4 linked regions of the Saccharomyces cerevisiae S288C genome follow. The protein of the gene in region 2 interacts with the protein of the main gene of each other region in a pairwise test. Each region holds a gene or a part of one and is shown on either strand. Other genes may lie near its edges. The genes, in order: GLN3, TOR1, FMP48 and LST8.

Region 1 (7,893 bases), on a different chromosome or scaffold from region 2:
TTGAATTCCAAAAGACAGGCCCATTCGAAGTTGGTGTCCACGTTTTGCCAAAGATCTTGGATGAAGCTGTCGCTAAGTTCCACTTGGGCAACTTGGGTGTTAGATTGACTAAATTGAGTAAAGTCCAATCTGAATACTTGGGTATTCCAGAAGAAGGTCCATTCAAGGCCGACCACTACAGATATTGATCAATTCAATTCCCATTTCAGTTCTTCTTTCTCACTATTTTTTAATGTTCAAAAACTCAACGGTTTGATCATCAAAAAAGATCATAAATAAATTGCAAATATAAAAACAACAGCTAACAATCCTATCACAGTATTAATACTAATACATGTGATACTAAGTTACGTTATCGAAAAGATAGATCCTGTATACCTATATATATAATAAATTCTTCAACAGTAAATATTTCATTCATGCACTTGACTTTTTTTCATAAATAAGGGCACGTACACTAAAAAAGCTACATTTCTCTCAGATAATGAGTAGGGCATGCATATCCCTGTGGATTCTTATCTAAATATAACTGGTGGTATTCTTCAGCATCGTAAAAGTTCTTGATTGGTTCAATAACTGTGGCAATCTTATTACCCCATTTTGGTTGCCATTCTTCCTTTATTTTGGCTAATTCTTTTAAATCAGCATCTGAATGAGCGAACAATCCACTGCGATACTGTGTACCTTTATCAGGTCCTTGTGAATTAGATGTAGTAGGATCATGGATTCTAAAAAAGAAATCAGTTAATTCTCTCAAAGTTATCACTTTGGGATTATAGGATACTTGTAAAACCTCCGCAAAATCTGTGTCACCACCACAAACTCTCTTATAAGAGACACTAGAGGGGCTATCCTTTTTAGACTCTTCTCCATTAGCGTAACCTACTTTACAATCCACTATACGGTCATTCAAATACTTCCTATACATATGTTCTGTACCCCAAAAACATCCACATGCTAATGTGATTAATTTATCCTTGGCTGGATCATACTTAATGGTTTTTGAAATAAGCGACGACATTGCAACTTGATTTACTTGTTAAGTTTTTGACGTTAGAATATAACTGTCTTTCCAATTAAATCTATATATATGATATTGAAAAATGTGTCTCTGTCTACTCTTGTTTATATATGCCCTTCATTTTACTCATCGCAACTCCCTCGTTTTCGGCGCGATCAACTGTGGTGGCGGATTTTTTGACGCTGTGCCCGTTAACTCATTCAATAGTGCTACTGCTATCACTGTCACAGGCTACAAACCGGTCGACTGTATCTTGTGCGTCTGTGACAAGTTGGTCAAGGACAGAGGAGTGTTCTCTTTCTAACCTTGGAGCAGTCAAGTTTGGAGGCAACATCTTAGTACCTTGAAGGCGAGCATTGATTGTGATGCTTGAGCGTGATTTTAAACCAGACTCAGGCGGATTTTTCTCAGCATTAGTAGTTCTTGACTTTTTTATTGGTGATATTTCTATTACGTCCTTCCAAACGTCAACCTGTTCGTCCTGTGTAAGATCCCGAATTCTTTTACCGGGTGAACTATCTAAAACGCTTTGGCTGTTTGTAATCTCATCTACAAAAATCAACGAATCATCGTCATTATCGCTGTGTTCATCGACGGTGGTCAGTCTTGTGGGAGCCGGTATTTCTTCCAGACTAGTATCTTCGTCTGTATCTACAAAAAGCCTTTTTCTCACAGGTTCCAGGATTTCCTTTCTCGACTCGCCTACCTTTCCGATACTTTTAATCGGCGAAGTATGCTTTCTTAAAAACTCATCCAAGTTATTCTTCTGTGGTAGCCGAGACTTATTCGATTTTTTACCTTTCTTCTCTTTTTCTTTCTGTATAAGTTGCTGTGTCTCATAATATTGAATTACTAATGGATGCGATTGAGGTATCAAGTATTTGGGTAACCAAAGACTATTTGGGTGTTCCATTATATCCATCTGACGTCGTGTGGGACTCTTGCTTCTACTGGGAGAATTACTGCGCTTCAAAGGAGATTGAGAAGAAATGGGTATATTAGGCAAGAATGTTGTATACCGTATTTTAAAACATGGTATTTGGAACTTTCCACCATCTATGTTCATAATTTTTTCTTCGGTAATCCTCATATTACCTTTACCTATATTATCGGACTCATCAATTGATAAAAATTCTCTTAATAGAAACATCTCGTGCATAGAATCATGAAACCACTTGTCGAAGCTAGAAATTTGAGGCAAATTCAAACTTTGTAAAAAATATTTCAGTTCATTGAAATTTAAGTTTCTGTAGTGTCCGTTTCCAGCCATATTTATGTATTTATCACTGAGAACTTCTTCATCAAAATATGGTTGGACAATGGGGTGAAAATAGTGCATGATTGCGACAGTTGATGGCCAGCCTTCAAATGAACCTTGATTCAATAAAACAGGATAATTTCTTCCAAATAGCTCGACAGAATGATCCTTGCAGTATAAATATAATCTTTTTTGAAACAATCTATACCGAGACTTCCTCAGACTTTCTGATGTCAAATCTTCTAAATTGAAATCTTTGAAAATGTCATAAAATTCCATGGAAAAGTTAGGATCTTCGCATTGAGCCAACTGCAAAGATTTGTTTTTACCCAAACCCTTGACTCCACGATTGTAATCGGCACCTAATAGCACGCTGAAAAATAAGAGAGACAGGCGATCAAACTTCTTCCCTGCTACTTTATTAATTTTGGGTAGATCTATAACAGTAACAAAAGATTCTTTACTATCATGATGTCTACTGGGACTGTGGGAAGTTATTGAACTTGGGCCAAAATCATCGTAGAATTTCGAGTAATTTTTCAGGATTTTTTCTCCCCCAAATACGAGAGTATCTGAATCGTTACTTAAAATGAAATCTACAGCCCCAGAAACTTGCAGCCAAACACACTGGGCTTCTCCCTCCCCACATGCGATTACATATGAAATGTTCATCAAGTCTAATAATTTCCGTACAAGACTGATGAACTCAGGGTCAGATGGCGCTAGCAATCCTTTACAATTGCCATAAACTTCATGATTCTTAACATGCTGTTCCCAGCTTGAATAGTACTCTTTCTCATCATCACAAGTAGTAGCGTTCTGTTCGTGGTTAAATTTCCTTTTGAAAGAGGGTTTCATAACTCCGTCAAATACAAGCAAGAATTCGACGTTTAAACTCAGTAGTTCTTTTAATCGAGATATGAAGTTTATCACAGCTTTTCCTGTAGTTGTATAACTTCTGCTACCATAATATTCTTGACTACTGTCGATATCACTATCACGCGGAGAACGGGTAGGACTCCTTGATCTTGATCTAGATCTGGCGCTTATATCTATATTTTGGATAAATCCACACTCAAATAGCCATCCATATGCGTCAATCGCGATTCTTGGAGCTCTTTTTTGCGATTTATTAAAGTCTATGACAAACTTTCTCAACGGAATTCTGGAATCTTGCAGATATGGCTTCAAAAATTCCCATATTTGTGAGACACCCATTTTCTTGTGCAGTATCCAGAATATACAAGTAGGTAAAATGCAATAGAACTGTCATTTCATTGGATGGACCATATACATTATTGTTTATGTGTCAGTCAAAAGCTAGTTAAATTATTCAACTGTGGGCATTATAAGAAAAAGAAAATGCCATTAAAAAAGGGCCGTTTAAAAAAAAAAAAGAAAGAGATAGACAAAAGAAACAGGGGAGATAGAGAAAGAATACCAAATAATAATTAGAGTGATATTACAAATTCCTAATAATATATGTCTACACATAAAAGTAATACAAATAGAACAGCCAGTGTTCAATGCCAATATACTACCATTTCTTTTTTTACAAGTAATTTGATCTGAAAATAGCAAAACAAATAATACCAATGCTCAGGATTGTGGTCAGAGGTAATGAAAATCTATCAATGCAACCGTTCAGTAATTATTAACATAATAAGAATAATGATAATGATAATACGCGGTCATATACCAAATTTTAACCAATCCAATTCGTCAGCAATTGCTGAACTTTCTTTAGAAGATCCTTTTGTGGAATTATCCTCACTGATCTTTCCGCCTGCACTCACATCTGCTTCATATTTTATAGGTGAAGTAGAGTCACTTGATAATCTATTGTTAAATTTGTGATTTGAGATAAACGAATTCGACTCCGAGTTCTGCAATTGTTGTGATAACAATGAGGTATGTGATTTTCTTGAAGAAGGTCTTGAGACACTCGGTGAATCTACAGGAGTATTAAAAATATCAAAATTTGGCTTTTGAGAGACAAAATTTGATGATCTTGAATTTGTTGAAACGCTATTGCTTGAATTCCAATTCTGTCTATTCGAATTCGTGTTTGTGTTGGAATTCACGTCCACTTGTTGCTGTTCGTGCAGTTGTTGCAAAGACGCAGCCATAAACGATGAGGAGTACGATGCATTGCGCGACATCTTTCTTCTTGGTATATTCATTCCTTGACGTTGGAAAGAATTTGATAATAGATTCTGCTGTAGAGGACTATTTGAGTTAAAGTTTGCGGACGATATAATTCTTGGTGAGGATGCGACACTATTTCCTGCACTTACATTATTTGTTGTGTTCATTAGGTTCATGTTCATGTTGAACTGCTGTGAATTAGCGCTATTAGGTGAAGGTTTTGGTAATATCGGAACAACAGATCTGGATGAAGATTTACTGGAACTTGAGGTGTTCGATGAAGTACTACTTCGTCTTGAAGACCTTCTAAAATTAGGAGTAACAGTGTTCGAATTGTGACGCATTAAGTTATTAGAATTCAAATTTGCATTGCTTGCTCCATTAAAATTTGCGTTACTACTATTATACGATTGGCTGTTCATGAGGACCGGGGAGGGGACTGAGTTGAAGTTATAGCCTCCCCTATTTACATTAAGGATATTATTAGTATTACCGATGTTGTCTCTAATGATTTCTTCAGGTATCACTCTAGATAAAGAGTTTTGTTGTAGTGATTTTTTCCTCGATCGTATGGGTTTAGCATTTGTAGTGGTTACTGAAGTTGAGGCAGTTGCAGGTGCACTTGGAGTATTTTGTGCAATGTTTGGGTCCGTTTGTTTGGCTCTCTTCTTTGAAATCCTCTTTTTGATAACGTCCGATTTTAAGGATAATGGCCTCATGGTACCATGTAATTTCTGGAAAAGACCGCAGGCATTGCAAAGAGTATTCCCCTCTGGGCTTCTCCTCCAAAGCGGTGTCTTGAAAGTTTTACAATTGAAACATTGTATCAGAGGTTTTTTATTTTGTCCTGATGGTTCCATATTGGATATACTGGAAGATACTGAGGCAGCTCTTTTGAAATTGGCCAGGGACGTGGACGACATTGGCTTGATAAGTGAGTTTTTTCTTACAGAATTTGTTGTGTTGGATGAAGATAATCCTATCGAATCGCTCTTCTTCAGAAAAGGATGCTGGATATTACTATTGTTGCTATTATTATTATTGGTAATGTTCATAGCGGATGAAGATGAGTTGTTGTTTTGTAGTTTGTAGATGTTGAAGGAATGGTGGGACTGCGCATTAGTATTTGAGTTGTTATTGATAGATGGCTGGTTGATGTTGCTGTTGGACGTGCTGGAATTATACGGGAACAGTGAGGATTTGGAGACGCTGTTGCCGAGGGAACCGTGGTTGTATTGCGGTATGTCGGAAGTAAAGCTGTTAGGAGCACTAATAGTAGCTGAACCGCTCGAGTTGCTGGGCGTCATGTTGAATTGGTCCACGTTAAAGTCCCAAAGTTGTGCAATTTCACCATTTTGTTGGTTGGATGCGGCTATGTCGATGGGCTGAGTTGTGGCAAGTGAATCAAACATCGCAATATCATCATCCATATGATTGGTAGCTGGTGTGGTGTCCTTGACCGTCTTAGTAGTCACGCTGGTCGTGGCAGCTGCTGTAAAAGGAGACACGAAGTCCGTAAAATATAAATCATCGGGCAGTGCCTCCAGCATTGAGTCGAATGTGCCGCCGTTTAATCCACTGGCAAATGCTATATCCTCCTCGTTTTCACCGGTGTTGCCACTACTCTGGCTCCTACTGTCACCAGTTTGTCTCGGCTCTTCATTACTTCGACCATGCACGTCCAGATGACTATTCAGCAGGTCGTACAGCTTCGAATTTTCGGGGTCGTCTTGCATTTGTTTGTTGGTGGGGGAAAAGGGGGCCCTGTGCTCTCTCTCGTCTCTCTTTCTTACACACTCTGTTATTGTGGGATGGGCTACTGCGCTGACATTAGCTTACCACTCTTGAACATCTTTCTCTGTCTTGCAAGATGACTCTTTCCACTCTCTCAGCATTGCCATGTCACTTTCTTTCGGGAACCTGTCCGCCGGGTAATAGAGCAAAAAATGTGAATATATCATATTAAGAATGTTTAAAGGGCCAGGTAGAGATAGAGTACAAGAATGGAAGGTTGAAAAGCTGTAAAGAGATCAAGAAGGTGTGGTAATTATGAGCAAGCATAAGCATGAATGGACGGAATCAGTGGCCAACTCTGGGCCGGCTTCAATCTTATCTTACTGCGCGTCCTCGATTTTGATGACAGTAACGAACAAATTCGTGGTTAACCTGGACAACTTTAACATGAACTTTGTGATGTTGTTTGTACAATCACTGGTGTGCACTGTGACGCTATGTATCCTACGAATTGTAGGCGTTGCTAATTTTTGATCTTTGAACAGGACAGATGTAAAAAACTGGTTTCCAATTTCTTTGCTGCTCGTATTGATGATTTATACGTCGTCAAAGAGCTTACAATACCTTGCCGTGCCCATCTACACAATTTTCAAGAATCTGACGATCATTCTCATTGCTTATGGCGAGGTCCTCTTCTTTGGCGGAAAAGTCACTTCTATGGAGTTGACGTCATTTATTATGATGGTCCTTTCATCTGTAGTGGCCACCTGGGGCGATCAGCAGGCCATTGCAATCAAAGCATCATCTTTGGAGGATCTCGATCAGGAACTTGTTGAGTCAACCATCTTTGTGTTGAATCCGGGGTACCTCTGGATGTTCACCAATTGTATTTCGTCTGCATTGTTCGTTTTGATTATGCGGAAGAGAATTCGGCTGACTAACTTTAAAGACTATGATACTATGTTTTATAACAACGTTCTGGCATTGCCTTTGCTGCTAGTCTTTTCCTTCATTATGGAAGATTGGTCCACAAAGAATTTGTCTGTGAACTTGTCCGCCGACTCACTGGCAGCAATGGTCATCAGTGGGCTCATGTCCGTGGGGATATCGTACTGTTCCGGCTGGTGTGTTCGTGTAACTTCCTCTACAACGTATTCTATGGTTGGTGCTTTGAACAAATTGCCCATAGCGTTGGCGGGATTGGTGTTCTTTGACGCTCCAAAAAACTTTTTGTCCTTCTTTTCTATCTTTCTAGGATTTCTGTCTGGCCTGCTGTACGCTGTGGCTAAACAGAAAAAGATACAACAGCAAAAAGTTCTAGCAGCTACTCTTGAGAAGTAGTACATTCTTCATTTGCTCAAGCAAAATATACATTTATATTCATTTATATGGGGTCTTCTTTGTATTTGTTTTAGGTTATTCCTTTTTTTATGTTACATATTATGTCAGCATCGTTTTATGAAATATATTCATATATAATTTTTCAAGTAAATAGCAATAAAGTGATAAAATTTTGTTAGACGCACAAAAGGGCAGTGTCACAAATGGGAAGCGTGAACTCATCACCGAATGAAGAGTTTGAAACTGTGCCAGATTCACAAATTTCAGGGTTTGATTCTCCTTTGATACCGACTAGTGTGGGAAGTTACTTTCGCGATGACGATGACGATGAGAAGGTGCATCCCAACTTTATTAGTGATCCTGAGAACGACAGTTTGAATAGCGACGAAGA
Region 2 (11,314 bases):
TATATAGAGATGTCGAATACTTGGGACGATGTATGGGCATCAGACAGTGATGTCGAAACTGAACGATCTCCAGATTTAGTGAAGTTAAGAGAGAATCATAGCAAGAGGGGGTACTTGGACGGAATAGTGAGTTCTAAAGAAGAAAAGCTGCAAGAGGGTTTCAATGATGGTTTCCCAACGGGCGCTAAATTAGGGAAACAAGTTGGCATAATTATGGGGATTTTACTTGGCCTACGAACACGTTTTGGTGATGAAGATGAGGACCTCAGTAAGGCATATATTGATGCTCAAAAAGAATTACGCATTAACAAAGTACTTAGTAAGTCCATATTTGATCCAAACTTTGACTTGCAAGAAAAACATCCGCTCATAACAAAATGGACTGATATTGCCAATACCTATTGTGAAAAGTACCATGTGCCATCTATCCAATAAAGTTGTTTTAAATGGAGTTGATTTCACAATTTATGTACCTTATATCATCCTTCATTTCACATAATGACGAGATATTACAAAAATAATGATAATAATAATAATAATACACAATACTTGCACACGTATACAAATGCGTAATACAAAAAAAATAAATAGTAAACAAAGCACGAAATGAAAAATGACACCGCAGTCACCAGAATGGGCACCATCCAATATAATGTTGACATAACCTTTCAATAGAAGTGGCTTGTTGGATCAGTTTATCAACCTGCTCAGGGACGTCTAATTCATTGAACCTCTTGATATCATTGCCCGTTAATTTATCTGTAATACGTCTCAAAACAAGCATTGCTCTGGCGTTTTTGGTCTCATTTTGTTGTTCTGCTTCCATATTTGCCGCTTCTTCGACAGTAATTGCCCCCTTCCTTAATAATTCACTAGGATTAATCAACGGCAAAGGAATTCCAGTTTGCTCAGTAAGTTTTTGTGGCGGTAAATCAAATCCCCAATGGATCAAAGGATCAAGCGCAAAAGCTTCCAAGATCGCCATTAATGATTCTTTATTATCTCTTAAGACTCTCATGACATTTTCACAAGTAATTCGGAAACTGCCTTCAATTCCACTAACTTCCATTGCGTATGTTAACATCCTAGTTAGTCTAAATGGCACTTTTTCTGGATACTTTTCTCTTAAGATGGCAGCTTCAAAACAATCGCCGAAATCAATGTGGATAACTTTACCGGTGATTCTATCTAGCATCAGGTTGCTTGGATGGCGATCACCTAGTCCCAGAATATAACCAGTCATGGACATAACTGCTAAAGATCTCGTATAAGTTGTTCTACGTTCTAGCCATGTCTCTGACGACCTACTCTTTAACCATAATATTTTATAAAGGTCTTGGCCTTTTGTATTATCTAAAGCGTACGTGAATACTTCAATTTTTTGTAAAAGAGTCAAATTCTCATAATCGGGGGCCATTTGTAACATAACCCAATGTTCAATGTTCAACGGAATTTTTTTGGCATCACGGTGTTCTCTGATCAAAACGTGGAATGTGTCACTATTTGGTACCCATCCTAGTAAACCAGATTTAGGCGACAATGGAATAGCCGGGTATTGTTGGATATCCAAATGTCTCTTGAAACACTCTGAATCATTCTTCAACAAAGTGTTAACTAGACCAAATAATTGCATAACAAGGCTATCTTGTCTTATATCTTCATGTCCCTTTAAAACGTATTTATAATCTTTACCGTCGCTACCCTTGATGGAGAATTTTCTTGGCCTTTGCTTCGAAGAGATCACAGAAAATAATGGCTCAAACTTCGCTATTCTAATGGTAGGTTTTCCTGGGAAATATGTCCCAGGAACAGCCAATTCGAGATCATGAGTAGCCAGAAGCTGGGGAGAAACATGCTGTAAGTCTAAGGTTTGTAACTGTGGTATTTGACGTGTTATTTTTCTGAAGACGTTATAATAAATATCCCAAGCTTGGTTCAAATTATTGATGTCTTTTGACTTTTTGTAGTTATTCAACCATTCGTAGGCATCGTTCAAATCTCTACCAAATGATTTCTGAAACGATACCTCACTTAACGTTTGAGGCTCATTGCCTAAGTGTTTATGTAAAGGTTCTAAAGTAGAAAACATTTTTTCTATGTTATGTTCAACGAAAAATTGGCGGCTCGCATCTTCCAGTCCTTCATACCATAATTCGTGCCATAGAACGGCTACTCTGATCAACTCGTGACTAACTAATTCTGCCTGGTTTACCAGGACTGGACTATGAATCCTAATTTTCTCTATTATTGAAAGAGCCGCTTTTTGTCTTGAAACAGATTCAGACTTGATCGCGACAGTTAAAGGATACACGAGAGCTTGTGGATGAGCTTTCCCTAAATCAGAAAGCAACGACAAAAGGGAATTACTCACCGTAGGATCTGGCTGATGTATACGAGAGATCAACTGTGGTAAGACTTCAAGCCAGTTCTCTATTTTCATCAAATTGAAGCCTTCATACATGGCTTGTGAGACTTCTTTAATACCACCAAAGTTAAATAAAAGAGTCAATAACCTCAACGTGTCTTGCAAACAACTTGTTTCTAATAGAGATATTGAATGAAAAAAGCCCTTGATCGCTGGAACAACATGTCTTTGAATAAGCTCTAGCGGGTATCTGTTGCCATTAATAGTCAAAGAACCACTTCCTAGGATACTACCGTCAATCCGCACATTATCATTATTAACTGCCGTGTCATCATCATCATCATTCTTACCTCCGTTGAGCTTAGTCTCTTCCTGAACCATGGATATTACTTCAAAATTAGCTAAGGCCCAATTATGCCATGCCTTGTACCAATTTTTATCGAAATGTGTAGCCAATAGATAAGAACCAAGAATTGCATCCGGATTTGTGTTTCTCCAGTTCGGTTGTGTTGCTATTCTCCACTCACCTTGCTTTAAAAAACATCGAGCTAATAATTTTGTGTATTCCTCAACATACGGAGCAGTACTTGCACTTGAGAGTTTGACACTTTGCGCGATCATATTATTCGGATCCAAACCAAGATCATGCGCTAACCTGGATGTAAATCCTATCAAGTGGTTTAATGCTTCTTTATAAGCTCCTGTAGCCCAAATATATTTTAGTTGCGCGTAAACAACTGGGGGAGGAGCTTTGAACGTATTTGGTAAACTAGGATCGTTGCCTCCTTCTAGTAGCATATTCAATGCCTTATTTGCTAGCCTCATTCTACCAGATTTTCTGCACAAATTTGCAAATTTTATCCATATTTGCAGGTCTTGCTTGGGCTTTATTACCAATGATCTTACTCTAAGCACTCTTTGCCATAAATCGACATTTTTTTGGCAGCCCAGCAGTCTTTTTGTCCAAAGATTTTGATAGTGAAGTTTTTTCTCGGAATTAGGTGGCAATTGTTTATACTTGATGATTTCCTCAAACTCTGTTATTATTTGAGTTCTAACAATAACGCTATATGCTCTATTATAACTTTCATTGATCAACGCGGAAATTTCAGTCACAAGCAAATCTCTGGCGTTTAATATATGCTTACTAGCATTGTCGTAATCATTCTTGTGCAAGTATAAAATTGCATCAAAAAATTCCTTATCTGGAGATTTAGGTTTCATAACGCTGATATATTGCTCAAGCATATCCCACTCTCCCAACCCCCACGCAGCACCAGCTGCCAAGGGAGCTATTAGCTTCTTAGTTTGTAGCTTCGAAACTTTCCACTTTCTAGCTGCCAATTGCGACAACTGTTCCCATTCGCCAAGGGCATGAAGGGATCTCATCTTACCGAGTGTAACGCTCACGGAAGTATCACCTGCCTTTTCACGTTCATTATAAGCATGTAGTGCATCTTCCCAACGCTCTAATTTTTCAAACCATGTCTCCTTTAATTGAAGTGAATGATGTTGTTGGGCATGCTTTAATATACCAATTGCAGCATCCGTTTGATTCAGCTGGTTGTTAATGCTGATCAATGATTCAATAGTTGAGTTCTCAGGCTCTTTAATAAATTTAATCTCTTTATAATGTAGCGCTTTGGCATAGGCGTGACATCTTTCAGCATACTCGCCCAGGCTTTGAGTTGGTATTGGTAATGCCTTGTCATCGTGTTCCATAAATTCTACCAGGTTTAACAATGTTTGATGTATTTCTGGTGGATTTAAGGGAGAAGATAAGGCTATACATAATGACCCAATTAAATCTTCTTGATATTGGCTATAAAGTTCGGTCCAAACACATGCGAATGCGGTATTAAAAAGTTCTTTGGCTAGTGGATAATACATGCTTGCAAGATTTGAACAAGCTCTTAGAGCATGGGAGGGTGACTCTTTTAATAATTGAATGGATAGACGTTTGCTCCATTCCTGCCAATCTTCTTTAGTTCTTTGTTGGCTAGAATTCCATGCACTTTTCAAAACTGATTGGTTTATAGGTAATTTTGCGACCCCAGCATCTGCTGCCTCCATTTGTTCCGCGGGCTTATAATCCGTTGTATTTGCTTCAAGAATTTTTGTGGGTAAAACATCATTGTTTAATATTCTGTTTGTCAAGTCATCATATATTGTGTGTTGAATATGTTTCTTCATTAAAACTTCATTAATGACAGGGATGAAGATAGCAAAGGATGTGCCCATTTGTATTAGCAGTAGACTTAAAGTATTCATAATGACTTTTGAGAGTTCGTCACTCGTTGTTGAACTTAGTACCCTAAGTAAAGAGTGAACAATTCTTGAGGACATCTCAAAAAGGTCAACATCCTTGGCCAGTTTGCCAATAGTAATTATTGCAGACCTTTGTAGGTTCCCGCTGGTGAATTCTGCCATTTGAACTATCTTGGGTGTAATCAAATGCGAATAACCTTCTAAGTTAGGACCAAACGATTCTAACAGTCTCAATACCCTTCTGGAGAGGACCTTGTCACTAGACTTGTCATTCTCCAAAATTACAAGGAACAAGGTCAGAGTAAGAGGGACCAATCTTTTGAATTCACCCTCCAGAGCCTTTGATATTGCTTCAATAACACTTACAAGCGTTATTTGTAGCTTAGCAACCGAAGAAAAATCTTTGATAGCCTGGAATATAGAATCGACATGAGGTCTTATGTGTTGCCTTACGATAATAATCAAAGAGCAAAGCTGTTGGAAGTAAAATTCTAATAGTGACTGAGAGCATGTACGCATTACGTCCAAAATAGTTGGGATGATCTGGTCCAAGAATGAAACACATTTTAGACCAAGGGTTTGAAAAATATGCATAATCGCTTGGATCACGGCAGTGTGGTAAGATGATAGGGATGGATCTTTTAGGATTTTTAGCAGGCAGTGAATGACAACAGTGGTATAATACTCATCATTCGAAGGAGACATGCCCTGCATGAGAAGAGCAATGTCGATAGGCGGGGCGTTCTGTTCTGTAGATATATCGGTAGTAGAGGTAACCTCACGTTCTTTTTGGCGATATGGGTCGATAGCTCCCAGTATACCTATCAAAGTGACTGTTTGTCTCCTAATATTTTGAGAGTTTTCTGTCTTCAATATATTCACCAATATACCCAATAATTCGGGATAGTCGAGTAAAGGATCTATCACGTAACCAGATGAGGCTGCAAGTTGACCAAGGGCCTTAAGTGCAGCTTCTCTCTTGAAAGAGTTTGATTGATCCTGAAATGTTTTGATAATTAAAGGAAACAAATCCTTAAGATATATCTTCATATCTTCGCCCCCTACAACAGATAGCTCACCTATAGTTCTCAGTGCAGTTGATGCAACCGTTGAAGAGGTATCTTGGAATTTTGGTAAAAGAACATTTAAAAGAGGTTCGATATAAGGTTTCGCAACATCTTTACTCGACCTGATAAGAGTACATAACAAACTGGCAGTTTCTTCCTTTTCTCGAGAAGAAGTTGAGAATTTTAATTTTGTTAGCAGTTCCAGTAGTATTTTTCTTATCGATGGGATGACGTATGCAGGGTTTACGGAAGACAACCTACCGACAAGCTCCATTGCTACTGACTGAATATTGAACGACTCATCGTGCAGTGCAGTAAACAAGAGTCTCAAATTATCTGGTTGTGCCAACTGGGGATCGAAACATGGATTAAGATTCTTTAAAACTTCTAAACGGATATCTTGTAAAGGGTCCGCAATCGTAATGGCTAGAAGCTTTGATAACACTTCAGATACAGTGTTCAGAGAGTGTAGTGATGTTTGTTTGCAGATGTTATCCTTGACGTAAATTTCACAAGATGTCAACGCAGCTAGTTTCCTTACTCTGGGATCTGTATGCTCAATGTAAGAAAGTGCAACAATTCTCACGAATTCCACCAACGAAAATCTGCTTTTGATATTTTTTAACATTCTAAAAGCTTGTATAATGATTTTTATATCATTATTATCATCGTTACTTTCACCAGTTTTCTGTAGGATGTTTTTATTTCTCCATTCTCTTGCTCTTTCTCTCGAAAACGATGGTATCTCCATTGGTGACCCTGGCTGGATAAATGGTGTTCCAGATAAGGTTGAACAGACTAGGTTAAGCAACTCGTCATTTATTTTGGGGCCTAGTGATGGTATTCTCTCAGTCAGAATTTGAAACGTTTCCTGCATATAGTCGGAAAGAGGGCATTTGAACATCAGGTCCAGTATATTTCTGTTTAATAATTTACCTAGAACGGGGCCCAAGGGAACTGCCAATCTTCCGATGCAGTAGAAAATTTCATTTTCAAATTTCTTTCTGAATTTGAATTTCGTCTGTAAATCATGTTCAATATAATCAAGAATTTGTTTCACATAAGGTGCGATATCGGGCCCGACTTCATATGCAATATCACCAATCGATATTAAAATCTGTGGTTTGTCATCTTTGAGATGTGGTATTTTATTTGCTGGAGCATTGGTTAAAATCTCTAAATAGTTGTCCATAATTTGGTGCAAATATTTGCCAGCAAATAATTGAGGATTGAACGATGCTAATAGGGGAACAATCTGGTAAATCTTTTCTCTAATCATTTTCGCTTTATGATTTTCATAAGCTATGCAATTTAGACACATTTGGTCGAACACTTGATTCAAAAAGGGATCCTTCAAAAACAAGATTTCCTTATAAACCAACAAACTTGCATGGATGCATTCTAATGTGTTTACTTGAAATCCGTATTCACAACTTGTAGCCAATCTCTGCACCCACTGGCTAGTTAACTGAGGATCCCTATTTCGTAGGGTGGAAAGACATTTGGCCAATGTAATGGACGCATCAATTCTGATCACCAAATGTGGGTCTCTTAGTGCTCTCCAAATGTTATCTAGTATGGAATTCAAGTATTGGTAGAGTAAATAAGGACAATTCTCTGCCAACGCTGTTATAATCAGAAGCGCAGCATGTTTAGCATGGTCTGGCTTCGAACTCGAGAATGAATTCTTTTCCGTGGAGGCAGTAAGCCATTCTAAGCAAGACTTTATCTCAAATTCCACGAAATCAGAGGTATATGTACCTCCTGGAACGGCTAACTTGCCCAGAGTCTTTGCAGCGAGTCTCATGACCTCTACATCATTAGAAGGTATTAGCCCTCGAAGGTAACCAGCCAGTCGTGAAGTTTCGTTAGGCAACCTTTCAGTATATGCGTAGAATGAAATCAAAGTGTCTATGGATAGAACAGCCCCTACCCTAGTGCTCGTTTTTTTTGTATGGACCAGCTCCAAAATCTTATTGTTTATGTCATTTGAAACTGCTTGGAACTCTTCTATCGACAATTCATGTTCCAAGGATACTAGTAGATCAAATAATGAAATACTGGCCAATTTTCGTTCCTCCTTGTAATCACTGGTTAATTCGCGGAAAATTTTCTCCAAAATGGGCTTAAAATTTACATCCCCATTACTGCCAATCACCACTCCATCAAACCTACTAGAAGTCAGACCGAATTCATCCCCGTTCCTGCTCGCATTCATTTTCATGTTCATATTCACATTCAGATTCGGTGCCAACGGCACATTTCTATCCATGTCCATATCGTTGTTAGCCGCTTTCAAAAGTTTACTCTTCCAAATCTGCTCCTCATGCGGTTCCATATCAATGCAAACCTGCTAGCCGGTTGATGTATGTTTCACTTTACCAATGACTCTCTCGTGAAGCTACTATGGCTCTTTTTTAACGTAAGCTCAAGAAGACCCTTCGATAAGGACTTTCAGTAGTCACCCGGCTGTCCGCGGCTTCAAAATGGCGAGAACCCCTTTTCAAAAGTTTCAAACAAAAATATATGAGAGTAGTTTAATCAAGAATTGGCCCTACCGTAAGGCCTCACGATTGAGCAAGAAATTAGGATTCAATGTCATACTTAAACAATCCCGCTGTTGTCATGGACAATGGTACCGGGCTGACCAAGCTCGGTTTCGCCGGTAATGATTCTCCCTCCTGGGTCTTCCCTACTGCAATAGCCACAGCTGCACCTTCAAATACAAAGAAGTCCTCGGGCGTTGGTGCGCCCTCAGCAGTTAGTAATGAAGCATCATACTTTGGAAATTCCACCTCTGCAACCAATTTCAATGGTGCAACAGGTGGTTTGCTGTCTAATAATTTATCCGGTAAAAGAGGTACAGAAGATTTGGATTTCTATATTGGAAATGAGGCTTTAGTAGCATCCCAAGGACCCTCTTACTCTTTGAGCTATCCAATCAGACACGGTCAAGTGGAAAATTGGGATCACATGGAAAGATTCTGGGAAAATTCCATCTTCAAGTATTTAAGAACAGAGCCTGAAGATCATTTTTTCCTATTGACCGAACCACCACTGAATCCTCCAGAAAACAGAGAGCAAGTGGCGGAGATTTTTTTTGAATCATTTAATTGTGCTGGTCTATATATTGCTGTGCAAGCAGTTTTGGCTCTGGCTGCGTCATGGACCTCTTCAAAAGTCACGGATAGATCATTAACTGGTACTGTTATAGATTCTGGTGATGGTGTCACCCACGTCATCCCAGTGGCGGAAGGTTACGTCATTGGCTCAGCAATTAAAAACATTCCAATAGCCGGTAGAGACATCACATTGTTCATCCAATCCTTGCTAAGAGAACGTGGTGAAGCAGACACTTCCTTGAGAACTGCCGAAAAGATTAAGCAAGAATACTGTTACGTCTGTCCAGATATTGTAAAGGAGTTTAACAAATTCGATAAAGATCCTTCTAAATTTGCCCAATTTGTGGTGGAAAACCAAGAAAAGACAAGGAGAAAAGTCGTAGATATTGGTTACGAAAGATTCTTAGCACCTGAAATCTTCTTCAATCCAGAAATTGCATCCTCAGACTTCTTGACTCCTTTACCCACGGTAGTGGATCAAACTATCCAGGCTTGCCCTATTGACGTCCGTAAAGGTTTATACAACAATATTGTACTATCAGGTGGGTCTACCATGTTCAAAGATTTTGGACGTCGTTTACAAAGAGATCTAAAGTCTATCGTAAATAACAGAATCGCACAAAGTGAGCTGTTAAGTGGAACTAAATCGACTGGTGTAGATGTTTCCGTGATTTCTCATCGGAAGCAGAGAAACGCTGTCTGGTTTGGTGGCTCGCTGCTGGCACAAACAGCCGAATTCAAAGGCTACTGTCACACTAAGAAAGATTATGAGGAATATGGTCCGGAAATTGTTAGAAATTTCAGCCTTTTCAACATGGTTTGATTATTGAGTCATGACTCATCTTATAAGGAAAAAGGTACAAAAACAAATGCAAATAACTGAAACGCCCCTCACTTCATTTAAATATACGTATACAACTGATTATATACACGTATATGTACAATCAAGTAACCCCAAATGCTGATCTGAGAAAAAAAATTGTGGGATATGTGATTAAAACTTATCTTTTATTATTTATTTATACAAAATCAATACTCATCTTTACCACTAATGATGACGTTATCAATCTTTAAAATCATTCTACATAATTGAGTAGCTAAAAGAATTTGCTGCTTTTTGCCAATAAATGGATCAACGACAAATAGTTCCTTCATGTCATTAGACCCGTAACCTAAGCAATCGACACCAATGTTGGAAATCTTTTCTTTCAGTTGTTTACTTTTCAATGTAGACAAAGTTCCGATTGGATCAAGACCAGAATTTTCAGCCAAAGTCATTGGAATGGTGTCTAACGCTTGGGCGAATCCACGGAATGCATACTGATCAATACCACGTTGCTTATCAGCTTCCTCAGAGACAGCCAGGGACATAGTCACTTCGGCTGCTCCCCCACCGTAAACTACACGTGAGTCTTTAACCAAGTTACGTACCACACATAGTGAGTCATGCAATGCACGTTCAGCTTCATCCACGATCATTTTATTGGAACCGCGAACAAAACATGTTACAGTTTTTGTTTCTTTACTTTGCTCGATAATCAGCATACGATCCTTAGTAGTACCAAACTCCTGCTCGTAAATTCTGGAACATGTACCTAATTTATCCTTAGACAAGTCTTGAAATCTTGGAACAATGCGACCGTTTGTGGAAATGGCAATGTGTTCTAGTTCTTGGCCACCTACCCATCTTACGGCAGGTAAATCATTCTGTAGAAGTAGATGATTGGCCTCATCGTCAAACCCCCATTGGCATATAACAACATCTGCGCCCGCTTTCTTCACATCGTCTATCATTTCTTTGAACTTATCTTGTTCATAAGTCTGTAATTTTTGGTATTCTTCTACTGAAGAAATGTCTAATTTATGCTTGGTCTTTGGTTTAGGAGGTTCAAATGGACACGTTAATATAGCTAACTTAACACCATCAGAGCCCTCTTTTGGTAAAACACATTTAGGCATTTGTGGATGAGAAAAATCTTTATCCAAAATGACACCATTAATCAATTTTGAATCGCTTATAGATCCGCCAACCCGTCCTTGCATTTTGATTAAATCGAAATCCACGTCTTTACGATCTTTGTCCATGACATTTATGACGGCTTCCACAGCCATTTCAGCAAATCTATCATGATCCTTGGAAACAATTTTGGAGCCCAAAGAAGTTTTGGCGGCCCTCAATAAAAAGTCCCTGAACAATTCATCGTTTGACGCAGAAATGTCGTCACATGTTTCTTCTAACTTGGAAATGGCTAATTTGGCGGCTTCATCAAATCCATTAGCGATTTTGATTGGATGTATACCCTTTTGAATTAACTCCAATGCTTGGTCAAGTAGCGCACTTGCCAGAACAACAACACCAGTAGTACCATCACCAATTTCATCATCTTGAGATTTGGAAAGTTGTACTAACAACTTTGCAATCTCATTATCTAGCTCCATTTGGGACAAAATTGTAGCACCATCGTTAGTGATGGTGATTTCACCGTCAGGTG
Region 3 (6,706 bases), on a different chromosome or scaffold from region 2:
CCCGCCAAGCTAGATCTGCCTGAAGGCCAATTATTCTTTGGTTTCCCAATGGTCCTACCGAAAGAAGACGAAGAAAGTGCCGCTGGTAGCAAATCCAGTGAACAAAATTTCCAAGGCCAAGGGATCTCACTAAGGAAGAGCAATAAGAGAAAAACGAAAAGTGACCATGATTCGTCCAAGTCCAAGGCTCCCAAAAGCCCGGAAGTAATCGAAATTGACTAAAAGATATATACTAGTATACAACAATATAGTGTCTTTGACAGATATATAGAGCATTTTCAAGTTAACAGATCTTAGAATCCAAGTATCTTATGCATCGCATTAGCTCTGCTGCATTTGCTGTTCGTTTAGTAAAAATAATTACGTGCGCGGTTGCGCGATATTTCCCTTGCTTAATGCCGAAGTAATTCTCTTCGTTTACCCATACTCGAATCTATTGTGTTGTTGAAAAATAAAAAAAAAAAGAACCAGGTTATATAATTGTGAGTTGATCAGTATATAAATGAGAGAAAAGAAGTTTCTATTGTTCCAAATTATATCCAAGCTGATTTTTTAACCCTTACCTCACGAAAAGCAAGTTTAAGACAAACACTCATAAGAATCCTTACATATACTAAAAAACAAATGCAAGTCTCCCCAGCTATTGTAAAAGGTATCGCAGTCTCATCATTAGGTTTATACGCCGGTATTTTAACTTCATCTACCGTGATTTCTATTACCACCCCAATAAATGTTCTAACTCAACATTTGAAGAATGTTTTGTGCACATTAGGATGCTGGAGCACCGTTTTAGGTGGTTTAGCTACTGGTGCCTTTGGACTCAGCTACTATCTAGCTGCACCAGGAGAAAGACCAAACTACCTTTTGTGCGGACTTGGTGTCGCCCCATTATCTGCAGCCTACCTATACTTAGTATCACTGTTCAATCACAAGCTAGCCCCAAAATGCACACGTGACCAAAATGATTTAGAAAAGCAAAAGGATGAAAAATTACCCCAACATCACCCGGAAGTCAAAGATGGGGAAGCTGCATGCCCATTCTCAAAGATGAACAACGCCAAAACATTAAAACCTGAATCCGAAAGAAGCGTAAAATGTCACTCATACATGTCATTGCACATGAGCATTGTAACCGGTATAACAATTTTTACCTTTGGTAAGTGTATCCTAGATGGATTCAAAGCATGAACGACGAAGCACGTGACACGTTCCCTTCAAACATCACAATTATTTAAGCGAGACTAATATATATGTTTAGCGAAAAAAAAGGCCAAAAAAACTAGTAAATATACAAAGCAGAGTATTTTTGGCTCTTGTCCACATTGGATAAGAGAATATTTATTTTTCACACAGAAAAAAAAGTTATATACGTATCTCTAAGAAAGTCAAAGACAAATTACGTAGAATGTGATTCATTCCCATTTCGCCCGTACACTCTCTGTCTCTGTCTCTGTCCCAAACTTCCCTTCCTATACGTATTCATAATCTGCTTAAACGTCAACAGTAGTTTCGGAACATCTTCATACGTAGGGAATACGACTTTTTTCTTTTCACCTGCAGCTTGAGCCAAACTAAAACTGGGATCCGGATAAACTATTAATAAAGGATCGCAAAGTCCATACGCCAGTTTAATGGGAATGAAATGATATTGCGAAGTGACGTCAAGAATCGACTTTAAGCTATATCCGAAGTCAAGAAAGCCGAACCTTACATGCGGTCGGAAAGCAAACGAGGAGATTAGATTGGTTTTCATATCCGCTAAATTTTCTTTTGATTTTACTTTGGCTTAATCTAATGCATGTATATCGGAAGAAGCAACCGATCTGGCCCAGTTGAGTCGTGCTACCTTAGTCATGCCCAGGAAAACCGGATTCCTTCTTTTCATTATGACATCCGTTTAGGTCAATAGGCTTTTTTTTCTCTCGCCCGTGCCTCTCCGTGTTCGATGAATGTGCAGCTTGCCTCCGAGCGGGCGAGCCACCTCGAGCGGGTGACGAAATAGTGGAAAAGAAACGGGGAAGCAAAACTGTGCTGTTCTGGCCCGCAGCGGACGAACGTCATTAAAGGCGCTCCATTTCTGTCGTGAGGGTCTTTCGGTGCGGTGGTGAGGCTGCGTAAACAAGCTTGCTCTTCATACCCCTCCCGTGGAGCTAGTTCGGAAGGACTATTGGCGCATCTTCTGTTGAGAGGTTCCGTAATTCTCCGTAACGTCCCGTTCACCACTTTGCATGTGCTCTCACGTACGGCCGTCTCTTTTCGGCCTTCGGCCCGTTCCGATTTTTGTACCCCTTACGTGCTTTGAATTCTAGAAGGCATCTCCTCTCCGATGGCTTGGTACAGGGAGCACTAGGGAAATTGCACATGGAAGTATCTGGAATACAAAGTTTTTGAAAAGAAAAGCCGAGCGTAATATTGGGACAATACCCAGTTCTCAGCCTTTTCAGCGCGGGTATGAGACAGCTTGCAACAGGTAAAAGGAAGTTAGAAGGGTTAGGTGAAGGGAACGATGATGCTGCCTGAGAACAAAAATGCAGCTTCATGTTACATACAATAAAGGAAGGATAATTAAGGGGACCATGCAATAAGGGACAACTTAATTTTGGAAAAATCGGAGCTTAGTTGCATCTACCTACTAATACTTTCCCCAAAGAATAATAATACGAGTACAATACATATATATATATATATATAATATACACATGTAAGTGATGACTATTCTTAATACAAAAAAATTTCCCTTTTATAATAACTATTCTTAGCATTAAATAACCCGTTACTGACAAAAAGCATATAACATAGGACTCAAGATCGACTCTCATACCCTCCGAATCAAATTCTCACTCGTATACGCAATCATTTAAATAAGCACATCATTATCAGCATATACCGAATAATAAAAAGCAAAAATGTATACAAAACTAAGATCTATACAATCAGGAACATTTAGCACAGTTTATAAAGCATGGAGTACTACACATAACCGCTACGTCGCTTTAAAGATTACTCCTAAATACAAAACTTCAGAAGCCAACATGAAGAACGAGTATGATGTAATGAAGATTTTGAGTTCTTGTAATCCTCACCCCAACATCTGTTCGATGCTCGACTTTTACACGGATGACTCGTACTACATCATGGTGCTAGAATACTGCGAATGTGGTGATCTTTATGACTTTCTAGATATTGCTAAGAGTCAAGGTAGCCCGTCGTCTCCATCTTTGATTCAAATTGATATGCAAAAGATAATCAAACAACTGTGCTCAGCAATCAGCTTTGCTCACAGCTTGGGTATTGCTCATCGTGATATCAAACCAGAAAATATTTTGCTAACGATAAATGGTGACATCAAGTTGGCAGACTGGGGTCACGCTATCCAATCCCCTAAATCTAACGACTTCCAGATTGGTACCGATAATTACAGGGCGCCAGAAACTTTCTCTGGCCGCGTTAGTAACTCTTGTTTTAAGAAGAATTTCGATCGGTCATCGGCTCCATTGTATAACACATACCAAGCTGACTATTGGTCATTGGGTGCCACCATATTTTATCTGATGTTCGGCGATTGCCTTTTTAGAGTCTCCAAATCAAAGAAGGTTCAGCATCTAAAAAATTTCGATGAGTTTGAAAAAGATCCATTTGCATTCATTTACAGGAAATACGTAGTACCAAGGCTCTCCTGTGGTTACAATGATGAAGAAGACCTACACGTTAGCCTGCAGCATACGAGGCAGTACATATGGCAAGATCTACCCGACATTTATGATGTCTTCCATTTGTGCAAGATTATGGTTGATACCTTATTAAAGGTATCGAACGCTAAAGAGAGGTCGATGGAGAATTTCATCAATGAAGTTGATTCTGCATGGAACAAAGATAGCTCGATGGACAGCTGCTTCTCGTACCAAAATAAGATTGATCTGTTTTGGGAACAGTGGTCTGTGAACACGGAAACAGTACCAGCAAAGTTCCAATTGAAAAATTTTGAGAAACCTTGCCTAATTCAAGATGGAAAATAAGAAGTAAAAAAGACCTTTTGAAAGTTTCGCCTCATTTTCCTTGATCTGACTTTTTATCCCCTGCTTATCCAATTTTAGTTAGGAACTTTGGCATAATTTCAGTATTACATACTACCTAATCGACATAAAATAATATTACATATTCATTTTTTTAAAAAATAATCATAATCAATTTATCCTTTTTATTCCTTTTTTCTCCTGTGCAAGGTTGATGGTGATGTTTATGATGGTGTGTTTATTATTTACAAATAAAGATGCTATCTAATTCTTGTATATCGTATTAACATGCAAATGCACCGCGAGTGGCAATTTTCTTCTCGTAATGGATCAGTTCAACATCTTCAATGGTATGAACCAGAATTTTCGAATTTTCTTCGTTAAATTCGAATATGAATGTTCCCTTAATCAGCCGGGATAATCTCTTTTTTTTACTTCTTTTACCGTCGCCATCATTTTTCTTCTTCTCATCTTCTTTGGAATTTTGAGTTTCGTTGACCTTATTTTCCATTGACCTTTCAGCTGCATTTTCAAGGTACTCAGAGATAACACTTTGGTTCAAATTATTGGCTGTAGGATGTAAAATGTAGTCTATGACTGGTACCGACCTCATTGAAAATGAACCGCCTGCACCATTGCCTCGTTTCTCCTCTTTCAATCTGTCATTAATTTCTAATTTGGTAATCTTGCAATGGTCTTCCGGTATGCAGCTTTGCCATTTGATCACCAATTTGTCATTACATGTTATGGTATTATAACTCTGAAGAGCAGATTTAACTTCTTCATCATGCGATGTCGATGTTAGAGTCTTTACTGAACTTATATGCAAGCGACATTCATCGCCCAAGATAAACTTTCGTACTATCATTCGCATTGCATTCAAAGAAGCCATGTATTTTGATTTTCCATGTAACACTGGAATATATGGATGCGATGTTGGAAATAGTCTAAAAACAACGTTATCCGCCAACACTGACTCCTTGAACATTTTTTGTAACAAATTGGGAACACCTTTAACCACTAAATAATCTGTTATTTGCCCCAAATTGGCCACTTTTTGAGAATTGGAGTACCATCGAGGAAAGATTCCTTTGATAGATATTATGCCGGCTCTGCAAACACACTTTAGTAACATAAGTCTTTCCCCCTATTATCTATGAATATAAACTGTCTATCTTTCCTTGGTTGTGATGTATCGTTTTCCGTAGAGGCTTGCAGCTTTATGGCTCATACCTGTCATCCCTCTTTATGGGCCTTTTAAGGGCGCTCTCTACATTGTATTCTATTCATTTTTTTCGTAACCGTAACTACGCGCCTTCTTAACGCAAGGCGCTCGACTCATCATGAGATGCGTATGAATGTCTTTCAGTGTATAGAAATACATCTCACCAAATCTATTTATTTAACTAATATTTCTTTTAATATTTTCCTCAAGAAACTCAGGCAGTTAATGTTGTGTCCTATTTTTTTTAGTTCTTTCCCATTTTTATAGCACTCGTACAAAAGAAATCGAAATATTTCAATATGTTTAGACTCGGTTCTATGTGTTAAAACTGCAAGATGAAAAAGTAACATCTATCTTAGATTAAGGTCCTTTCTTTATATTCTTTACTTTATTAGTGAGCAGAAATATTATTAAAAATTGCCGCTGTCATACTGTACGATATTATTACCCGACCGCAGAATGTTCCTCAATACTTTCTTTTTCTTCCTTTTTTTCACTTCGCTTTCTTCATGTCCATCAATGAAATTTCAGCTTCATAGCGATTTATTTTCAGTGTACGTTATTCAATGAAGATTCCTTTTCCTCGATCTATCCAGACGACTAGACATAGCGAGAATTCTTTACGGTAGAAGCAACCTATAGATTACCGAATCATAACTTTCTTTAGTGTTGATTGAGACGTGTTGTGTTTAAACTATCCATTGCATCTCGATAAAAAAACATAGTACTACAACAAACAGTCAGGTTCAATAACACCTAAACATTATGTCATCTCAGTTTTTCCTGAAAACCTCTCAGGATATAGAGCTCTTCCAAAGCTACCCAACTTTTGAGCAATCCAACACAAACTCCAAGGATTTCCCTGTCATTTCCTCGGTTTTATCGCCATGTGGCAGATTTTTGGCTTTATCTACGAAGGAGAACGTCAAAGTTTTTACAGGTCCATGTTTGGATAACGTTCTATTAACAATGAAGTTGTCCGACGTCTATGACCTACACTTCTCTCCAGCAGGTAACTACTTAAGCACTTGGGAGAGAGCGTCTATACAAGACCCAAATCACAAGAACGTTAAAGTTTGGTATTTGAATAAACCATTTAAGAAAGATTGCGTTTCGGAGGATATAGTCCCTGCTTACGAATATCAAGCCAAATCCCAAAGCGGTTGGTTTTTACAATTCTCCAAATTAGACAATTATGGGCTAAGACTTTTTAAACACGACTTGAAGATTGTTAAATTAAGCTCCGCTAATGCCGACAATTTCGACTTCCAATCTCCGTTTGCTGTCTTGTCTGATGATGAAACGTCCCAACATTTCACCACCTACCTAATCTCTCCAGCTGAACATCCAACAATTTGTACTTTCACACCAGAAAAGGGTGGTAAACCGGCTCAATTAATCATATGGGCCCTCTCTGAAGGTAAAATCACCAAGAAAATTGCCTCCAAAACTTTCTTTAAAGCTGATT
Region 4 (6,735 bases), on a different chromosome or scaffold from region 2:
TAGAATTTGGACTTACAAAAACTTCCGGTTTCTGAGTTGTGTTATCTAGGTAATTAAGATTTCCAGTCTTGTTGTGAAAAAAGCTAAATACATCTCTGTTATGGAGCAATTGCTTAACATGTTGCAATATATTTGTAGACATCAGTCAAACTTTTGAAAATCCCTACGTAATGACTGTTCCTGACAAATTGTAGCCTCTCGGTGACCTTCTGTCAAGTCAACCATTCCTTACATACATCATTTATATGCCAGAGGGCAGGGTAATGCAGACATACAAAAACTTTAATTTACCGCGCACCGCACCGCGCAATTTAAGATTATTGAGTCAAAATTAATGATGTATATTATATGATTTCTGTGGTGATAAATTTATTTGAGTTTATAATTATATTTGCTTAGGATTACTATTAAAAATTTTCATCTATAGCACGTTTTTGAGCGTCGTTTAGTGATATTGGATAGTCCACTTTATATTTTACAATCAAATTACCTCTCTGAGATGGGTTCTTTGGAGTTGGCATACCTTGACCAGGATAAGTAGAAGTTTGTGAGGGTTGGACAGGCTGTACTCTCGACAAAGGTAAGGTTCTGCCATCAATTGTTTGGATAGTTTTTGAAAAACCTAACAATGATTCCTTGAAAGATAGTGGCAGAGTGTAAATTAGGTCATCACCGTCTCTTTTAAAGTTTGGATGGCTCTTTTCCTGGATGACAAACTGCAAAGTCTTTCTACGGCCCGTTTGAGGATTGTAATCACCCTGGTTCTTGTATGTTATTTTGGTACCAGCTTTCCAACCCGGTTTTAATTGAATGTCAATTTGTGTCTTTTCAGAGGCCCCATGTGGGCCCTTTCTTCCAATTTTAAATGACTTCTTTTTACCAACAAACAAATCTTCTAGACTAACTGGTAAATTAACTTGAACTGTTTCTTCCTCTGGATACGTGGGAGAGCTTGATGCTGATCTAAAGCCGCCAGGCATACCTCCCATGCCGCCATGCATTCCTCCCATTCCTCCAGGCATACCTCCCATACCAGCACCGCCGCCAGATGGATAACTAGAGAAACTGAAGCCACTGTCATCAGCACCACCGAATGGGGAACTGCCGCCAAAGAATTGTGAAAAAATATTGAAAGCATCCTCATTACTGAACGCATGTCCTCCGGAGAATCCGCCCGCACCGCCAGGGAAGCCTCCAGCACCTCCAGCACCGCCAGGACCACCAGGACCAAAGCTTGGACCACCAGATCTAGCAGCCTCGAGACCGTATTGATCATATATTTCCCTTTTTTGAGGATCATTTAAAATTTCAAAGGCCTCTGATATCTCCTTAAACTTTTCTGTGTCACCTGTTGGCTTATCTGGATGATATTTTAGAGCTGCTTTTCTATAACCCTTTTTCAGTTCTTGCTCATTAGCACTTGGAGATACTCCAAGTAAATCATAAAGTTTTGTCTCCTTGACCATTATTAGTTCTGTATACTATACTCTATTATATTGATGTGAATGTATTAAAAAAAAAATCTTAAAATGCAAACAACTTATCCTTTATCCTCTGAAGAGTTTCTGGATGGTTATACAATTCTAAGTCGTTAAAAGAATTCGTGTAAGAGCTTAAATAATATTAATTAGAATTTTTGACAAGAAAGCGCATAAGTTTAAAAAGGGATTAACAATACGGTAAAGGGACGAGAAATCTATACAATATATATTAAATCTCGAACTACCTTGGCAAGGAGTTTGTGCTGACAGTGGTTGAAAAACCCGTAAAAGGATATCCCATTCTTTTTCCAGAAGTTTCTGGAACGTTCATATAAACCAAAGAGGGTAACACAATACGTTAAGATTCAGAAAAGTAACGACTAGCTATTACTGATCATGTTATAGAAGAGTGCGACAACCATATATTATTAGCGCAGCGATCAACGTGGCAGTCTTGTCATCCATATAAAAAAGGAGTTCTGATTGATGTCTGTTATCTTAGTATCTGCTGGCTATGACCACACAATAAGATTTTGGGAGGCTCTTACTGGGGTTTGTTCAAGAACAATTCAGCATTCCGACTCACAGGTTAATCGCTTAGAAATCACCAACGATAAAAAGTTGTTGGCAACAGCAGGCCATCAAAACGTACGGCTTTATGACATTCGGACGACAAATCCCAATCCAGTAGCATCCTTTGAGGGTCATCGGGGAAACGTTACCTCCGTTTCTTTTCAACAGGACAACAGATGGATGGTGACCTCTAGCGAAGATGGGACCATTAAAGTTTGGGATGTGCGTTCTCCGTCCATTCCTAGAAATTACAAACATAACGCACCAGTAAATGAAGTCGTAATTCATCCTAACCAAGGCGAGTTGATATCTTGTGATAGAGATGGTAATATAAGAATTTGGGACTTAGGAGAAAATCAGTGTACCCATCAATTGACACCTGAGGACGATACCTCTCTCCAGTCTTTATCTATGGCAAGTGATGGTTCGATGTTAGCGGCAGCAAATACTAAAGGTAATTGTTACGTATGGGAAATGCCAAATCATACTGACGCATCCCATCTAAAACCGGTAACAAAATTCAGAGCGCACTCCACATATATAACTAGAATTCTACTATCATCTGATGTAAAACATTTGGCAACATGTTCAGCGGATCACACTGCTCGTGTGTGGTCGATTGATGATGATTTTAAGCTAGAAACGACATTGGATGGCCACCAAAGGTGGGTTTGGGATTGCGCATTTAGTGCTGACAGTGCGTATCTAGTAACGGCATCGTCCGATCATTACGTGAGATTATGGGATTTATCAACTAGAGAAATTGTCAGACAGTACGGTGGACACCACAAGGGAGCTGTATGTGTCGCATTAAACGATGTATAGTTTACAATTTATCAACTACCAAGCTTGAAGGACCGAAGTGACAAAAAACATTATGATTTTCAGTGTTTGCTTATCCGCCTTTTTGTAAATATAGATTTTACTATCCTGTGCATTTTAGTTAATTGATTGTTCACAAAATGAAAGCAATCGCGATGCATATCATCAATGAAAGGAAGACGAGAATGTACAGTATAAACATATTCCCTTGCATGTAGCACTAAATTTTAAGTTTCGTGTAGACGAAAGGTTTAGCTACTTGCGCGACAAAATAGTAATATTTACAGGCATTCTTAAACATTTTATATGTGTACATACTGTGCGTAAGGAAAGAAAATCAAAGCTTGCTCAAAAAAGCCCGCCTACTTCTAGCAATGACTTCAACTTTATTTTTGGTGTAATCAAAACGTCTAGACACAATTGACTTCTTCCCGCTTTTGGTTTCAACCGTACTATCTGTTTCGGGGAAGACCGACTTTAAGTATTTCCTACGCAAATGTACTTCTTCAGATAAAGTCAAAAAATTACAAGCGTCCTTGAAAAGCGCCTTAATATAATTCTTGTCTTTTTTGGTTTCTAAGTGTTGGGATTTTTCTAGGTCCTCTAATAGTTTTGCCTTCAAAGCTTGTTTTTCTTGTTCCGAAATATACTGGTGTAGCTCTAGCTTGTTATTGAAAGATGTAGATGAGTTCAAAAGATCACTACACTCATCAATCTTGGATAGACTCTCCGACAATTTCTCATTCGTCCAGCTTTCTCTCCTTGCCTTCAAACGCTCTTCTTCTTTTAAATAATATCTACTATTGAACCTTGCATCTTCTATGGGGTATCCATTCTTCAGGGAAGCCCTTACACGAATTAAGTATGACGTTGCCAATTCGATGTCTTTTATATCTAACTTAAGTTCATCCCGAAGAACCTTACTCAACTTGTCTTGTAACTCCTTTCTTTTAGATTCCCTGACCTCTAACTGCTTCAAAATATTAGGTTTTGCGAGATAGTCTTTTCTAGAAATAGAATTTTCTTCCTTATATGCTGCCCTTTTATTTGTTAACTCAAAACGGCCAAACCTCCTTACGGTAGGCTCAAAATGAGGAGATGGCAGTTTCAAATCACGCCTCAAGGCAACACCAATGAATTTTCTTTTAGGATGAAAAGGATCAAGATAGTAACGAACAACACCAGGTTCTAAGGCGAATATGGAATGATCTTTCCCTATACCAACGTTTTCTCCAGGATAAAACTTTGTTCCTCTTTGCCTCATAATAATTTCACCTGTGGAAACATCCTGGCCTTCATATTTTTTTGGTCCTAACCTTCTTCCTGCAGAATCCTTCATACTTGTTCTCGAGCCCGCAGCCCTTTTGGTGGCATTACGCACTTGAAGGAACACACCAGACACATGTTTTTGGAATGAAAAACTAGAAGTATCTAGTAAAATAGGATTCCACATATTCTCACCTTAGGTTAAGCTTGAAATATTATGACCACCCAAACTGGCGAGTTTTATTTTTACAATGAGCCAACTTCATTCTTCAGTGAACTATCTTGAATGAGTCTCCAAAGAAAGAGCTTTAAAATTCAATAGCGGAACGTCAGATATCGAAACACCCAGTCATAACAGCCAAATTTGCATAATTGGTATAAAAACAGTGTGTATAACATTACAGAGAAGCCGTTGTGTGAAAATCTTTTTAGTACCTATTCAACCAAACAATTGAACTTGAACACCAAACTCTAGCCATCCTTATCCTCTTCTGGTCACTACATATACCTCAATTTACGTCTTTCCTTGGGTCGTTTCAAATGACTCTCTTTGTTTAGCGAGGGAAATGAAAAAGTAGAGTACTGGCTGAAAAATTTCATAATTATGTTTGCTCATGAGTTCGAAAACAGTTTGAATGAGCAGATAGAACGCCAAATATTAAGTTAACAGGATATGTCTGATCAAGAACGAGGTTCAGAAAACGTATGTTTCATTGATAAGGGAGGTGAAGAAAAGTTTGTAAAATGAGACTTTATGAGGTCATTGGAATTAAATAGACATCAACGAATGGTGAGTCACCATTTAATGCTGCCTTCAAAACGCTTGCTTCAATGTGATTCCACTGGTTAAAGGGGGTTTTTTGAATGCATTGCTAATGTTTATCTACTGGCTATGAAAGTGAGAATATCAATTATAAATAAAACCCTGATTTTCTACCTGCCATGCTATAATGTACAGTTTATTCCAACTTTGAAACGCAATGACTTATTGGTCTCTCTCATTATGAAATTTAGTTACTTTTACTAATGTTATTCATTGTTGTAGAATAATCGAAGTAGATCGAGGTCGAGATCACCTGTTCGTCGTCGGATGAGTGATGATCATGGTTATGAAAGAGACAACCATTTGTCCCGGAGGTCAGGTAATTATAACGGTAGGCGTAAGTTCGCAGATACGTACAGAGGAAGCAGAGATAGAGGAGAATATAGAGGAGGTAGAGAAAGGTCTGATTACAGAGAAAGAGAAAGGTTCAATAACAGAGATAATCCTAGATCTAGAGACCGTTACGATGATAGGCGCAGAGGAAGAGATGTGACTGGTCGTTATGGGAACAGACGTGATGACTATCCTAGAAGCTTTAGGAGTAGACACAATACACGTGATGACAGTAGGAGAGGCGGTTTTGGTAGTAGTGGAGCAAGAGGTGATTACGGTCCTTTGTTGGCACGTGAATTGGATAGTACATACGAAGAAAAGGTCAATAGAAACTATTCCAATAGTATATTCGTGGGTAATTTAACATATGACAGCACCCCCGAAGATCTCACTGAGTTTTTTTCACAGATAGGAAAAGTAGTCCGCGCGGATATAATTACATCAAGAGGGCACCACAGAGGTATGGGTACAGTAGAGTTCACTAATTCGGATGATGTTGACAGGGCCATCCGCCAGTACGATGGGGCCTTCTTCATGGATCGTAAAATCTTCGTCAGGCAAGATAATCCACCACCGTCAAACAATATCAAGGAAAGGAAAGCACTCGATAGAGGAGAGCTTAGACATAACCGAAAAACACATGAAGTTATTGTAAAAAATTTACCTGCTTCCGTTAATTGGCAGGCTTTGAAAGACATATTCAAGGAATGTGGGAATGTCGCACACGCTGATGTGGAATTGGATGGCGATGGAGTATCCACTGGATCTGGTACGGTGTCCTTTTATGATATTAAAGATCTGCATAGAGCGATTGAGAAATACAACGGTTATAGTATAGAGGGTAACGTCTTGGATGTCAAGTCTAAGGAAAGCGTACATAACCACAGTGATGGAGACGATGTTGATATCCCAATGGATGATTCTCCCGTTAACGAAGAAGCTCGAAAATTTACCGAAAACGTTGTCGGTGGAGGTGAAAGAAATAGACTCATATATTGCAGTAATTTGCCATTTTCAACTGCAAAAAGTGATCTTTACGACCTTTTCGAGACAATCGGAAAGGTTAACAATGCTGAATTAAGGTATGATTCCAAAGGGGCACCAACTGGAATAGCTGTCGTTGAATACGATAACGTCGATGATGCAGATGTTTGTATTGAAAGATTGAATAATTATAACTATGGGGGTTGTGATTTGGATATATCGTACGCTAAACGCCTCTAGAACTACTCTCGATCTATATACTTTCTCACCTATTGGATCTGCGACAAGTATTTATTCATTCTTGACTTATTTCCAGGCTTTTTAACTTTATAATGTCATTGTGTATACGTATAATCTGAAAAAATTTCGAAGACTTTGAAGAAGACTGTGAAAAGAGTCTGATTTTTCCAATACAGTGAAAATGGGTTTAACAAATATCCAAAAAAGTACTTT

The links.
Region 1: the proteins of TOR1 (region 2) and GLN3 interact in a two-hybrid assay, tested with the Saccharomyces cerevisiae proteins (5 studies listed by BioGRID, with this or other methods).
Region 3: the proteins of TOR1 (region 2) and FMP48 interact in binary tests that used the Saccharomyces cerevisiae proteins (3 or more experiments, as listed by UniProt).
Region 4: the proteins of TOR1 (region 2) and LST8 interact in binary tests that used the Saccharomyces cerevisiae proteins (3 or more experiments, as listed by UniProt).

The regions. Positions count from the first base shown.
Region 1 is NC_001137.3:228,065-235,957, reverse strand, and holds GLN3 (nitrogen-responsive transcriptional regulator GLN3), read right to left. Parts: upstream 6,164-7,893; coding exon 3,971-6,163; downstream 1-3,970. Other genes in the region: SAH1 (adenosylhomocysteinase), read left to right, coding at 1-188; MXR1 (peptide-methionine-S-sulfoxide reductase), read right to left, coding at 467-1,021; YEN1 (crossover junction endodeoxyribonuclease), read right to left, coding at 1,218-3,497; YER039C-A (uncharacterized protein), read left to right, coding at 6,477-6,695; HVG1 (putative GDP-mannose transporter), read left to right, coding at 6,753-7,502; FMP49 (Fmp49p), read right to left, coding at 7,127-7,507; Smc5-Smc6 complex subunit KRE29, read left to right, coding at 7,706-7,893. UniProt on the Saccharomyces cerevisiae protein: Positive nitrogen regulatory protein. Required for the activation of transcription of a number of genes (including the allantoin pathway genes) in response to the replacement of glutamine by glutamate as source of nitrogen.
Region 2 is NC_001142.9:556,140-567,453, reverse strand, and holds TOR1 (phosphatidylinositol kinase-related protein kinase TOR1), read right to left. Parts: upstream 8,039-11,314; coding exon 626-8,038; downstream 1-625. Other genes in the region: YAE1 (Yae1p), read left to right, coding at 10-435; ARP3 (actin-related protein 3), read left to right, coding at 8,296-9,645; chaperonin-containing T-complex subunit CCT5, read right to left, coding at 9,852-11,314.
Region 3 is NC_001139.9:590,690-597,395, forward strand, and holds FMP48 (protein kinase FMP48), read left to right. Parts: upstream 1-2,906; coding exon 2,907-4,016; downstream 4,017-6,706. Other genes in the region: polyubiquitin-binding protein UFD1, read left to right, coding at 1-222; SCM4 (Scm4p), read left to right, coding at 625-1,188; YGR050C (uncharacterized protein), read right to left, coding at 1,397-1,753; MCO32 (Mco32p), read right to left, coding at 4,297-5,148; YGR054W (translation initiation factor 2A), read left to right, coding at 6,004-6,706.
Region 4 is NC_001146.8:618,100-624,834, forward strand, and holds LST8 (TOR complex subunit LST8), read left to right. Parts: upstream 1-1,967; coding exon 1,968-2,879; downstream 2,880-6,735. Other genes in the region: putative ubiquitin-protein ligase ASI3, read right to left, coding at 1-142; type II HSP40 co-chaperone SIS1, read right to left, coding at 408-1,466; mitochondrial 54S ribosomal protein bL27m MRP7, read right to left, coding at 3,214-4,329; HRB1 (mRNA-binding protein), read left to right, coding at 4,816-4,845, 5,188-6,522. UniProt on the Saccharomyces cerevisiae protein: Essential component of both TORC1 and TORC2. TORC1 regulates multiple cellular processes to control cell growth in response to environmental signals. Nutrient limitation and environmental stress signals cause inactivation of TORC1.